2 linked regions of the Caenorhabditis elegans genome follow. The protein of the gene in region 2 purifies or fractionates together with the protein of the main gene of each other region. This does not show direct contact. Each region holds a gene or a part of one and is shown on either strand. Other genes may lie near its edges.

Region 1 (7,701 bases), on a different chromosome or scaffold from region 2:
GCGCCAAATATGTTGTGTAATATGCATTCTCATAATTTTATTTTCCCGTAATATGAAAATGATAAAATACAAAAAAAAATTACAGTAGTCATTCTATGATTTTCCTGCAAAAACCAACACAAGCGAGCGCTATAGTAGTTATTCAAAGAATTACTGTAGTTTTCGCTTTGAGATATTTTGCGCGTCTACTATTGCAATTTGAAAACCTATATTTTCTAATTTTCCACTCCATTTGATAGATTAAGGTCTGGTCTACTCAGCTGTCTGCACTGAGCTCCCCCCCCCCCCTCCCCCGAACTAATACTGAAGCTTTGAAATTTATGAAACAACATGTGGTTTTTAGTATTCTCTTGTTGTTCCTTCTTCTCCACTTTCTTTTCTGCACAAAATCTGTCGCATGTTGTACTTTTTTTTCTTTATTCAGTTCCCACAGCACCGCCACATATATTGAATCAATTCAATAATATTCATACATGATGTGGCGAAGTATATGGTTTCTGATTTTGTGATAATCTCCATTGTGATAATTTTTTGTTAATAATTTCCATTCATCTACCGTAATCCTTTTTTGTGAGTTTTGTGGTATTTGGTCTTGAAACGAAAAAAATTTTGTAGCTACCATAAGTTTTTGCATTTTTATTATATTGAGCGGAAGCTTAATTTAAAACAGAAAATTGTGAGTTCGGTAGATGCAAAGTTTCGTGGCGAGACCCGGATGAAAAATTTTCGCAACTGGGTAACACGAGAACATCAAATTTTGTATTTAAATTTTTGAAAAAAAAATATTCAAAAAAAATTCAAAAAATTAATATTGCAATTTATCAGTTTAAAGGTGCATTATGTTTTAGGTCTCGCCACGATCTAACTTTATGAATTTTAATTTGGGTTACTGTACCTTCTAAAATACGCAACAAAAACTCAATTCTACGATAATTCTTGAAAAATTTGAAAGAATAGTAAGAGTAAATATCGTAATCTCAAGACTCACGGATTTATTCAGATGGGTCTCGGTGCGCAAAATTCGCTGAAACGGAAAAATACAAGTAAAATGAACAAGGAAACTTTTTGCGCGTCGAGACCCATCTGAATAAATCCGTGTGCCTTTAATAAGTTATGACTTGTGGAAATTAATTTTAGTGTTTCAAAAAAAAGTACCGTATCCATCTTCCATTGAATTTTGTACAATAAAGCATCCAATGACTAATACGGAATTCTTTCCTTTCTGGTTCATACTTTTCTTTTCTGAAAGCGCATGTGCGGCCAGGCTGTCTCATCACGGTTTGCTCTACAAAAAATGCGGGATTTTTTCGCCCTAAAATATGTGACGTCAGCACGTTCTTAACCATACGAAATCAGTTAAAAACTCTGCGTCTCATCTCCCGCATTTTTTGTAGATCTACGTAGATCAAGCCAAAATGAGACACTCTGACACCGCGTGAAAGCGCAAATGTACCCAAATTTTTATAGCTCCCCTTCCAAAGTTTCCACTTCCCTCGTTTCTGCTAAACTGTACAATGTATTTGGTGCAGGAGACCGCTCCGCAATATACGCTCGTAAATTGCAATGTTTGCAAAAATTGACGAGAGAGCATGTCAGACATAAAAATAAGGGACGCGAGGCAAAAAAGTGACACGTTGTTTTATTTTTTTAGCATAAACGGAAAGCGGGTCGTCGAGTGAGATGGCTTTCATTTGTTTCCTTTTTTGTTTTTTTTGTGTGGTGCTACGTGGTTTCTGTGCTTTTCTGGTGTCCTGTTTGGAACTGAATACAAATTTTTTCAGAAAAAAGTTGGCCGGAATCACGAGGTGTCAAAGTGTCTCATTTCGGTTTGATCTACAAAAATGGGGGATTTTTTCCCCAAAAAATGTGACTTCAGCACGTTCTTAACCATTAGAAATTAATTGAAAAGTCTGCGTCTCTTCTCCCGCATTTTTGTAGATCGAACCAAAATAAGACACTTTAACACCACGTGCGGAATTAGAATATCTCTAGAAACATTTTGGCGGGAATTCAAATTTCTATGGAAAAATTTTTGCGGGAATTCAAATTACTATGGAAAAAATTTGGCGGGAATTCAAATTTCTTCAGAAAAATTTCGGCGGGAATTCGAATTAAAATTGTGTATGCACCTTTAAGATTACTGTATAATGTTTTTTTTTCAAATTTTCTTATAATTTACAGATTTTTATAGCTAATTTGTGACCGAGTAGAACTTACTTACTTACTTAGTAACTATAAGAAAACAATAACAATTTTTCTAAGATCAATTTAAAGGCGCTCGCACAAAGTAATTTTGGAAAGGGTCTCACCGCGCCAAATGAATTTTTCAAATAATTTTTTTTCGCGTTCTCATTTTTCCTAGAAATTCCAGAATTTTTGTAGTAAAATTGCAAACATAAGCCCTTTTCGAAATATTTTTTTTCTTCATTAATCGAAAAAATAAGATGATTTGTAGTTTAGCCTAGCCTATAGACATTTTCGTTCCCCTCTCACTACAAGTAGGTGTCTCTGACATTCTCTTCTCCAACCTATTCGTCATGCTCAATTGAGCACGTCCGGGGCTCTTCTAACCAGCAAACAACTCCCCCCAGTTATGACCACGTTTCTCTTTTGTCTTCTGGGTTCACTATCAATAGAAGTTTCCATTTGAGAAGTATGCAAAGGGCGTGGGCGTCTGTTTGAGCAAAATGGGTGTGAATGGTAAGATGGATGATAAGGGGGAAATGATGTTTTTGACGTAAAAAATTTTATAATGTGGAGTATCGAAATCTTTTTAGAACAATTTTAAAATGACTCCCTGATTCCGATATTTAAGTGAAAAAAAAAACTGTGCTTTTTTTAAGGTCACTTTTTTTGTTATATCATTAAAAAAACTAACAAAATTTGTGATTTTTAGGCGGGAAAAGCATATATTTGGATTTTTCGTCCACGGGGTTCTGGGCATTTCTCATTGAATTTTCGCGCTCCATTGATAATCGCCTGCCGGACAGCGCGTGGAAAAGTGTCGTGTACTCCTCACGGACAGCAAACTTCAGTTTTACAACTAAAACGAGCCGCGACGCGACACGCAACGCGCCGTAAATCTACACAAAATCTCTCCGACCCAAAATGGCCTAGTTCGGCAAACAGCCAGAATTCCGTGGAATTCGTCGAGTTTTGACCTAAGAAATGGAAATTTTGTTAGTTTTTTGGCAAAATAATATTTAATTGACCTTAAAAAACGAAACTTTGGAAAAAAGCGACGAAAATGAAGATATTGAAAATCTCGTAAATCGACACATCGCGATTTTAAGCTGAAATATAATATCAGGGAAATTTTTTAGAATTTTTTCACTTAGATATTCGGAATCAGGGAGTCATTTAAAACTATTTCTCTCACAAAATTTCTAGGATACACGGAAAATCGAAATCGTGACTCATTGCGAACTTGAAACATTACAGTTCTCGAGCACATTTGAACTTGACCGAAACCACCGAAAAAAGTAAATATAGTGTGAGAGAGAGAGAGTAAGAGGTATTAGAGAAGCTAAAAAAGATAGTGGTTCTGTTCTATGCTCTCTTCTTATACACCCTCTTCCCTTCCCTTCCCAACTGTTCAAATATTATCGTTAACATGCCTTGCATGCTGCTGCTCATCGTCATTGTCCACGTCAACCTAAAATTTTTAATGTGAATTTGAATTCAGTATGCCTTGGGTCCGAAAAAGTTTGCATTATAAATTTCCTTGTTTTACTCGAATTTCCAATACTACTACTACTTTTCACAATTTAATTCGTTTTTTTTCAGGCAGCAAACTTATATTATCAAAATTGAGGGATATTGAAGCATAAAACGGAGGATTTTCGGTAGGTTACGGTACCCTGGGTCTCGGCACGACAAATGTTTGAAAAAAGGTGTGCGCCTTTAAAGAGTACTGTAATTTCAAACTTGTTCATTTGCGGAATTTTTATTGATTTTTTAGTTTTTCGATGAAAATCTATTAAATTATCAAATATCTAAAGTAAATTTCAAAAAGCTGAAAAATTAATTTTAAGGCGCACACCTTCAATGAGTACAAGGATTTGTCGTGTCGAGACCTGGATCTGTATTTCTGACGCAAAAATCTGAAAAGTGTCATATTAAACAATATTAAAGAAAAAAAAAGAAAAAAACTAACTAAAAAAATCTGTTTTAACATTGAAAACTTGATCATTTTGAGGTCAAACTAGAAAATATTGATTTTTCTTCGAATTTCTATTGATTTTTTTGTTGCTATTTATTAGTTTTCCTGAAAATTATAGTTTTTCCATCATATTCCTGCCAAAAACATGTTCCACCGATTTTGTCCACGTGTAGTACGTAGTTGTCGGTTTCTAGGTCACCACCCGTGTACTACACGTGGACGATGTGTCCTTATTTGGAGTTTTTGTCGAAAAATTTAGTTTTTACTGGTTTTTACTGAGCTGAATCGAAATATTTTGAGAAATTTCCCAATTAAATTAATCAAAAATTAATTTTTTTGCAGATACGGGTCGATTTTGCCGCTGAGAAATGATTATATTCAAGAAAAAGGCGATATTAAAAGTTCTCCTCTTGGTTCCAGTTTTTTGGATTTGCTCGTTGATTTTTTTCGCAGCAACCAGCAATGATAGTAGCCAGGTATCAAAAATCAAAAATAAAAAAAATAAAAATGTGATTAAAATCCCATTTTCAGATCGGATCAAATAACGATCTCGCGAATAAAATTGCGGAGGCGAATTTCCACCCGAAAGCCGCGAAACAAGACGTAATTCAAGGATTTGGGCCGCCGATTGAGCCGGAACCTGTCGTAGAGAATAATAAAGTGGAAGAAGAAGAGCAACCCGGCGGGAACTTGGCCAAACCAAAATTTATGGTCGATCCGAACGATCCGATTTATAAAAAAGGAGACGCAGCGCAAGCCGGAGAGCTTGGAAAGGCAGTTGTCGTCGATAAAACTGTGAGAATTTGATTATTCTTGAGGAATAACGGTTCTTTGAACTTGTGGACTCAAAATGTGCTCAAATTCTCAAAATTGCGAAAAAAATGAGCCAAAAATGACTTAAATTGGCCAAAAATTACCAAAAATGATTTTAAAAATGAAAATATTCCGTATAGATTTTTAATCATTTTAGGGCAATTTCGGTCATTTTTTACTGATTTTTGGCTGATTTTCCATCATTTTAAGTAATTTTAGTTAATTTTAGGCCAAATTTGGTTATTTTTGGTCATTTTTGGTCAATTTCTGTCATTTTTGGCCGATTTTTAATCATTTTTGGTCAAATTTGGTCATTTTTCAGAAATTTTTAGTCACTTCAGCGCTCGGAAATTGCCGAAAATTGGCCAATAATGACTAAAAATGACCGAAATTTGCCGAAAATGATTAAAATGTATATAATATACCGTATTTCTTCTATTAATATGGCCTCCCTATTAGACTTGCACTCCCTATTAGTATTGCTCCTTGAAAACCCTCCGAAAATTAGTATTGCAGTTAGTGTTGCACTCCCTAATAGTCTTGCATCTACTTTTTTTTTTTGGTACAAACCCACCCTACTAATTTTGAGATTTTAACAACATTTTTTGCCTACTTTGCAACAATTTTGGTAAAATTTCTATGAAATTGAAGTTATTGTACCTTTTTGTTGCAATTACAATCAAATTTTCTGAATTTTCACATAAGATTCGAGTTTTTTCAGGAAAAAAACTAGTAAGCTCAAAGTCAGAAAATGTTCTGAAAATTAGTATTGCACTCCCTAATAGTCTTGCACTCCCTATTAGTATTGCAAGCGGAAGACCATCGAAAAATATTATTGCAGCCATATTAATAGAAGAAATACGGTACATATTTTCGGTCATTTTTAATCATTTTTGGCCGATTTTCGATTATGCTTAGTCATTAAAAAAAAGACTAAAAAATTACCAAATTTGGTCCAAAATCACCAAAAATGACTGAAATTGGACAAAAATGAATAAAAATTTCTAAAATATTTAATATTTTAAATATTTATGTCATTTTTGGTCATTTTTCGCCTATTTTGGGCCAAATTTGGTCATTTTTCAGACATTTTTAATCACTTCAGTGCTCGGAAATTTTCGAAAATTGGCCAAAAATGATTAAAAATGATGTCTAAAATATTTTAAATATCAAGTTATTTTAAATATGAAATATTTTCGACATTCCTGGCCAATTTCGGTAATTTGTAGTCATTTTCAACCGACTGCTGATTATTTTTGGTCCGTTTAGGTATTTTTAGCAAAATTTAGAAATTTTAGTAATTTTTGGCCGAATTTTCATTTTTTTTTTTGGTCACATTAGGTAATTTTTAGGTGATTTTGGGTAATTTTTAGTCATTTTTATCCAATTCGCGATCATTTTTTAGCCACTCTAGGTCATTTTAGGCCGATTTCGGCCCCCAAAATCTAAGATTCTAGTGGAAATTAGTTCTTTTTTTTTCGAAATTTTGATGTTTTGCCTTTAAAATCAACGAAAAAAAAAAACTTTATTTTCTTTCTAATTTTCAGAAACTATCGACCGAAGAAAAGGCAAAATACGACAAGGGAATGCTCAACAACGCTTTTAATCAATACGCATCTGATATGATATCAGTACATCGAACTTTGCCAACTAATATTGATGCTGAGTGGGTTTTTTTTTATTCCAAAATTCATAAAAATCGAAAAATTAATTTTTTTAAATTTCCCTAAAAAACTGAAGTTTTTTTGTGATTTTCCGGAAAAAAAGAAGAAAAATCGAATTTTTTCAAAAAATTTTCTTTTTAAAAAAATCGAAAAATCGATTTTCTTGCAATTATCTGTAAAAAACGAGAAGTCGATTAAAAAAATCCTAAAAAAGAAAAAATCAATTTTTTTTTTGTTTTTCATTTAAAAAACTGAAGTTTTTTCTGATTTTCCGAAAAAAAAAAACGAAAAAAAAAATCGAATTTTTAAAAGAATTGCCTTAAAAAAAATGAAAAATCGAAATTTTTAAAATGTTCTAAAAGAACAAAAAATCTAAATTTTTCGATTTTCCGAAAAATCGAAAATATCGACGTTTTTTCATTTTCCGAAAAAAAAACGAAAAAAAAATCGAATTTTTAAAACAATTGTTTAAAAAAAAACAAAAAATCGAAAAATTTTTTAAATTTCCCTAAAAACTGAAGTAAACGAAAAATCGATTTATTCCAAATAATTTTCCTTTAAAAAAAATCGAAAAATCGATTTTCTTGCAAATATCTGTAAAAAAACGAGAAGTCGATTTAAAAAAATCCTAAAAAAGAAAAAATCAATTTTTTTTTTGATTTTCCGGAAAAAAAACGATTTTTTTTTTGAAAATTGGCTAAAATTCCAAAAAATTTTCAAATTTTTGCTCATTTTGATCAGAAAAAATATAGGAAAACCTAGAAATTTCTTTTACAAAAATGTTGTCGATTTACGAAGTATTTTGTACTACACGTGGACTATTTTTTGCAGTTTTTGGCTGGAATTCTTATCTTTTTCTGATTCTTAAAAAACATTTTAAAGTTCAAAAAAAAACTTAAAAATTCTCGAATTTTCTGTATTTTTGAGAGAAAAACGGAAAAAAAGTAAAAAATTCTGTACAAAAAAGCATTTTTTCTGCAAAATAATTTTAGAGAAACAAAGAAAAAAAAATCAATATTTGGAAAAATTTAATTTCTTTTTTTGCAGATGTAAAACCGAAAA
Region 2 (6,947 bases):
AAATGCAAAAGTAGCTGAACCTTCGTTAGCGACAGTGAGTGTGAATTTTGGAGCAGCAAAGTAATATGGTTCCATGTTTTCTTGAGTAGTCCTGAATTGGAAAAATTGAAAAACGTTGGATACATCATATGATCCACATAACGGGACAAGCTCATGAGCTTGTCTTTATTTCTCTGTTAACAAAATCGTATTAGCTCTACACTAGAATAATGTTATATAATTTGCTATTTTTTGCATCGAAAAAAAAAACAACCAGTCGTTTTCCAGACACTAACCAGTTCAACCAAAATTGTTTGATCATTTTACAAGACTTCCCAAGTTCACAGACCATTCCAAATACACATTTCAGATTTAATTTGCAGGTTAGCAAAATAACTCACCGAATAAGATTTCCTGCAGCATCCACAGTCTGGAATCGTGAATCTTTGTCAGTTGTCTTTCCACTGATTATCAGTTTTGCATAATATCCACGTGGAACTGTCACAATCCAACTGCAAGACTGCCCATTATCCAGCTGAGGAGCAGGCTGAGTCTCGTTCCAAGCAGCTGGCCAATATACAGGCGTACCATCAATTACAGGCTTGTTGACAGATTTTCCAAGTGTGCAACCTGAAATTAATTAATTAGCCAATTTCAAAATTATAACTTCTATAATTAGTTTTACCATTTCCAGCGGCCGAAATTGCAGTAGCAAACGCTAGACAGATGAATAGTTTCTGTAACATTTTGTTCGTAAGTCTGAAATTTTATCAAGTGCCCAAACGAAATATATAGAGCTTTTAGGATGATAATCAAAAAGTATGAAACTGGGCGTTTTGTCATCAAAAAAGTATTCAGCACTGATAACAAAAGTTTAAAGCATAAGTTTAGAGTGTAAACTGATGTAATGTCTCTTGGAGCGCAAGAGTTCAAGTATTTTTTCAACAAATATTTTCTCAATGCATACAGAATATTGATAGGAAGTTTCTCAGTGCTTAAACAGAGTTGCAATAAAAACTTCAAAATCATTTGTTCGAGTTTAATTTCTTGATCTTGGTCTAATGCTCCTTATCTTTTTTGGAATTTTCATTATTTGGTCTAAAACTTTTAGAATCATTTTGCTATAAAAAAGTTCTTTGAACGATATTAATATGCAGTTATCTTGAACAAAACTTGTAAAACATAGCACGTGGAATAACCACAAATAATAAAAATTTTAATTTTAAACTTCTAGGATACGTTTGAGTGAAACCTGAGTTGGATAATGCTAGGAGGAAACACGTGTAAATAATTTTGCAATTTTAAGAATCGAAAAAATGTTTGCTGGCTCTGAATTTAGTGAGAGGGTTTAATCTTCAACACAATGTTTTAAAACATGATTGTGTACGAGTTGCCAAGTTGCAAAATCGGTGGTCTTTGCACCAAAAGCTCAAAAGCTCTAAACAGTACATATGCATCAAATGTTCAAATTTTTATTTAAAAACAGTAAATCAACTTTTAAACGTGAATACAGCCTTGCCACTGCTGACCACAAACTGCACAAAATATCCGCCAAATGGCAGTGGAAGTGCTTTTTTCAGCTCTGCTCCTCTGAAATAATCAAGATTCTAGAATCGACTGTAGTTAAAAATAACATACGTGTAAGTTTTATCGAGAGTGAATGCGTCTGGAGATCCATAGTAAACTGAGACAGTGGAGTCCTGAAAAAAAACAAAATTTAGTTTGACGGAAAAAGTTCAACTTCATTAAACTCTACATCTTTCATCTGAACATCGATCATTTGCAATTCGAGATCAGATACTGCAACAAGTGAAGACATATGTGCTCCCGCGTTCACAGTTCCATTATAGATCGAGTTAGGTTGCGGGTGGAGTTCCACTATCTCATCGATTCCAGCCAAATCTAAATAGTTATGCTCTCACTTCAACGGCTGAGTTGCTGTTTAGACTCACACACGGATCCTTGAATAAGAAGTTTATTCATGGAACGACTGGCTTCGACGTTCACTACGACAATACCGTCTTGACTAGATGTCCATTGCTTCTTTGACTGGTTGAGAAGGAATAGACTGAAAATAATACATCCATGATGTCATGGCTAAACTAGATTTAACAAAACCATGCGAAATCTGTGAATACTGCAAACACACAGGCGGGTAGAAAAACAAAGTTAACAAAAATGCTTTAAAAATATCCAACTGGACAGCTGGAATGGGTACCCGAAACAAATTTCGACTTAGATTCTGGAGCACCTCCGAAAAAGGAGCAACTGATGAAAAGTCTTACAACTCACTTTGAAACATAGGTTGCAGAGGTCAAGCTGCTTCCATCATATATAAGTGTGCTTCTCAATGAGTTATAGTTTTTCAAATCTTCTGGAAATGTCAATAAAGTGATTCCTCCTGGTGCAGCGTATTCCATAGCAACAACTGTTTCTGTGACATTAATAACCTGCCCAATAGATGCAACAATATCAACATATTTTTCTGTTGGAACTGAAATAAGGAAAATATAAGCTAGAAATGCATAATACTGGTAAACTTACGTGGCCACCAGACAACTTTGAATGCAAACGTAGCAGATCCTTCATTGGAAACAGCAAGGGTGAATTTCGAAGCCGGGAAGTAATAAGGTACCATTTTTTCGTGGGTAGTTCTGTAAATATGAAATGCCATGAATAACTAAATTTTGAAACATTCAAAGAAGCTTAATTTAAAAAATGATATGATCCGAATGTGCGCAGATTCGAACTTTGATATTTGTTGCATATGCAACAAATTATGTAAAAAATTTAAATAAACATATCAAAAAATTGTTTCATGCTTATTTTTTATAAGCTGAAGCCTTACAAATAGCAAACTGAATATTTTATTTTATTCTATCAACTATTTTCAAGTACTCATTATTTCCTTAACAATTTCGGGAAAGGATCGAGCAAAATGCCAGCTATCACAGTTTTCAAAATATACAGACCAAACGCTATAAATTATTTGATTTACGAGATTTCCATGGACCATACTTTATATAGAAACACCATTTAAAATCCAAAAATAACTCACTGAATAAGATTTCCTGCAGAGTCTACAGTTTGGAATCGTGAATCCTTGTCAGTTGTCTTTCCACTGATTATCAGTTTTGCATAGTATCCACGTGGAATTGTCACATACCAACTGCATGATTGCTCCTTTTCCAGCTGAGGAGCAGGCTGGGTTTCGTTCCATGAAGCTGGCCAATAAACAGGGGTACCATCAATAACGGGCTTGTTGATTACCTTACCGATTTTGCAGCCTGAAATTTAAAACATTTCAAATTTCAAAATTTGAATTCAGTCTTACTGTTTCCAGCCGCCGAAACAAAAACAACCACAGTCAAGAAAGCCAATAGTTTTTGAAACATTTCAGAGTGAAATCTTGAAACTTGAAATTTTGCATATTCTGAGACTGATTATATACCAATTTTGGAAGATACGAAAAGGGCGTTGGATCATGAAAACGGTTATCAATTGTTGTTGATAAGAGAATAAGGAACACAAACTGATAAGGGATTAGTAGGTGGGATGACGTTTTGTAGCACCTCGGCAAATTGCCGCAACTTATTTACCAACTTTAGATACTTTAGAAATGCCAAGTGCAAAAGTTGCTAAAATTTGGTAAACAAGTTGCTAAAGTTGGGCAAATAGGCTAAAGTTGGGGATGCCCTCAAAATTTGCACTGAAAATTTTTCTAAAATTGGCTAAACTTGGTTAAAAAGTTGCTAAAGTTGGTGGATAAGTTGCAAAACGCTAAAGTTGGCGCTTAAGTTGCTAAAGTTGGTGTAAAAGTTGGGACGAAATGCCGAGACGAAATTCAGATCTAGATCGACTTCATTATCAGATTTCAGATTTTGAATGAAGCGAGATTTGTGGCGTAGTGCAGGTGGCGCTCAGCTACAATTAGATGTTTATGCTAGGAGCTTCTCTGTGTGTTTTTTTTGTTGGATTTTTTGATACCTCGCATGGTTACTTATCTTGCAGTTTTTTGGGAATTGTCAGCTTCCGGGGCGGTTTCCTCAACAGTTCGTATGTAAATGGTTTGATGGTCAAAGTTGCAGTACTACAGTCGTGCTGGTCGCAAACAGTTTGAAGCACATAAGTCGGACCGGAAATGTGCACGGTTTATCAAAAGCTAAATGACTTTTGAACGAGTGTGATGTGATGATGTGTTGTGTGATTCATGGGAGGCAGGCGCGGTTTCGCCTGCCCGGATCCCACTTCACAAGTTTTCCACGTGTATATTTGAAAATAGGAAGAGGCAGGTGGGGTCACCTAAAAGTCAGGCAGTCAGGAAGGCAAGCAGGCATTTTGGTGTCTGTATAACAGTCCTAGGTGCCAGTATAACTTTAAAACAAGAAATTCGAAACTCATGTTTTCTACTTGAGCCAAGAACATAACATATTGTTTTTTTTGTTCAAAAATCTAGAAAGATTCTTATAAAATCATACTGTCACATTGAAAATTTATTTTGGTGACTAATTTTTGATAACCCCATCTGGAAGTTTTAGCAGAATCTGTCCACGTTTTTTTCCGGGTACAATGGCGCTACCAATCCGTGCGATCTCCACATCTGATCTACAGAAAACTATAAGAAACAAAATGTGGTTTCTGCCGTTTCAAAAAAAAAAAATTACGAACTGTATGAGAAACCGCCCCCGGAAGCTGACAATTCCGCAAAAACTGCAAGATAAGAAACTAGGAGTACGATCAAAGAATCAAGATAACTCTAGTTATCAAATTAAACATTTAGTTGTGGATGAGTAGCTACACCTTGTAACAATATTTCTCTTCACACGCAGAAACATGTTGAAGCTGATATCTGTTAACCAGAAGAGGATCTAGACTTTGGTATACATGGAGTTACTTGATTTCAAATGACGCCACACATAAAAAAGATCCCTTATCAGTTTGAGCACTAAATTATCTTTGCAAAAACAATTGATAACTGTTTTATGAAAAAAAAACGCCCTTTTTCGTATGTTTCATTGGCTCCCAAAATGCGGTATATAAACTGTCTCAGAACATGAAAATTTCAGATTTCAATTCGAAATGTTCAAACGACTATTGACTTGCTTAGCCGTGGTTGCTGCTGTTTCAGCCGCCGGAAATGGTAAGATCGGTTTTAGGGATTCATATTTTAACGTAAAAATTACAGTCTGCAAAGTTGGTAAGGCAATCAACAAGCCTGTAATCAATGGCACGCCTGTGTTTTGGCCGGCTTCTTGGAACGAAACCCAGCCCGCTCCTCAGCTGGAGAAGGGTCAGTCGTGTAGTTGGATTGTAACGATTCCACGCGGATATTATGCAAAACTGATAATCAGTGGAAAGACGACAGGAAACGATTCAGTCATTCAAACTGTCGACTCTGCAGGAAATCGTATTCAGTGAGTTATTTTACAAATTTCAAGGTGGAATTCTCATAGAATCTACGCTTAGACTTGTTAGGCGCCAAGCACATCTGAGGGTTCATACTGTAGCCTCAGATCGATTGATCCTTGAAGGGTTGGGGCACCACGTACAAGGCCCGGACGCGGTTTTTTCCGCCATCAGTTTTCTACAATGTGGTGCTACAACGCTGCGGCATTGCAGTACTCATGGTTCATTTGTTCTGGCGTTTTATTGATTGATAAAGAATTGCGCTGAATAAGCGCAAACGTCTACAAGTTTGCCAGCAATCGCTTTAAACAACAAGTTTGAAGTTTGCGAAGTTTGAATATTCATAATATCAAATGTTTCCAGAACAACCCAAGAAAACATGGAACCCTATTACTTCCCAGCCTCAAAGTTCACCATTGCTGTTACAAACAAAGGATTTGCTACGCTTGCATTCAAAGTTGTTTGGTGGCCACGTTAGTTTATCGATATCGTAGATTCCTAGTTTATCTATTCCCTTTTCAGTTCCACCATCAAAATATGTTCATCTTGTTGGACCTACTGGTCAGGTGGTCAACGTCACAGAAACTATTTTTGCTATGCAATACGAGGGACCAGGCGGACTCACTCTGTTGACATTCCCAGGAGATTTGAAAAACTATTATTCATTGAGAAGCGCATTGGTCTTTGAAGGAAACAATTTGGACACGGCAAACTATGTTTCAAAGTAAGTTTTTGAATCAGTTGGAATTTCAATTCTAACATTTTTACAGTCTCTACCTGCTATACCAGAAAAAAGTGCAATGGTCAACTAGTCAAGAGAGTATTTTTATTGTCAACCTTGAAGCCAGTCGTTCCAACGATAAACTTCTTTTTCAATGATCCATGTGTGAGTCTAAACATCAACTCAGCAGTTAAAGAGAGAACATAACTATTCAGTTCTGGCTGGAATTGATGAGATAGTTGAACTTCACCCGCAATCTAGTTCGGTCTATAATGGAACTTTGAACGGAGGTCACAGAAAGTCTTTGAACGGAGGTCACAGAAGTCTTCACTTGTTGCAGTGTCTGATCTTGAATTGCAAATGATCGATGCTCAGATGGAAGATGTAAAATTTACTGAAATTCAGTTTTTTTCAAATAATTTTGTTTCCAGGACTCTACCGTTTCAGTTTACTATGGTTCTCCAGAAATCTTCGCTCTCGATAAAACTTACACGTATGTCACTTTTTAATCATATTGAATCTAGAATTTTGATCATTTCAGCAAAGGACAGCTGGAGAACGCACTTCCATTGTCGTTTAATGGATCTTTTGTGCAGTTTGTGGTCAGTTCAGCTGTGAGCCGTGGCAAGGCTGTGTTTACTTTCAAAAGTTGAAAAGTTAACTCATATTGTTTTCGAATAAAAAGTTGTATACATGTTTTTTCACATATGGTTCAGACGATTGTGTTTCAAAATTTTGCAATTTTTGCAACAATTTTCCAACTGAGCCCCTCAATATATGCAAAACCTTTATTAGCCTTAAAGTTTAAAGCTTAAAGTTTTACAGTCTTGAAGTTTTATTT

What was found.
Region 1: the proteins of mbug-1 (region 2) and gly-5 fractionate together in Caenorhabditis elegans (co-fractionation; one large-scale study listed by BioGRID). This does not show direct contact.

What each region holds. Positions count from the first base shown.
Region 1 is NC_003281.10:13,183,606-13,191,306, forward strand, and holds the start of gly-5 (Polypeptide N-acetylgalactosaminyltransferase 5), read left to right. Parts: upstream 1-3,786; 5' UTR 3,787-3,845; intron 3,846-4,504; 5' UTR 4,505-4,530; coding exon 4,531-4,638; intron 4,639-4,693; coding exon 4,694-4,957; intron 4,958-6,522; coding exon 6,523-6,641; intron 6,642-7,686; coding exon 7,687-7,701. UniProt on the Caenorhabditis elegans protein: Catalyzes the initial reaction in O-linked oligosaccharide biosynthesis, the transfer of an N-acetyl-D-galactosamine residue to a serine or threonine residue on the protein receptor.
Region 2 is NC_003282.8:12,970,086-12,977,032, reverse strand, and holds mbug-1 (CUB-like domain-containing protein), read right to left. Parts: upstream 3,410-6,947; 5' UTR 3,375-3,409; coding exon 3,314-3,374; intron 3,267-3,313; coding exon 3,038-3,266; intron 2,634-3,037; coding exon 2,524-2,633; intron 2,474-2,523; coding exon 2,272-2,473; intron 2,048-2,271; coding exon 1,932-2,047; intron 1,882-1,931; coding exon 1,736-1,881; intron 1,680-1,735; coding exon 1,618-1,679; intron 1,570-1,617; coding exon 1,470-1,569; 3' UTR 1,430-1,469; downstream 1-1,429. Other genes in the region: dod-17 (CUB-like domain-containing protein), read right to left, coding at 1-91, 381-609, 665-725.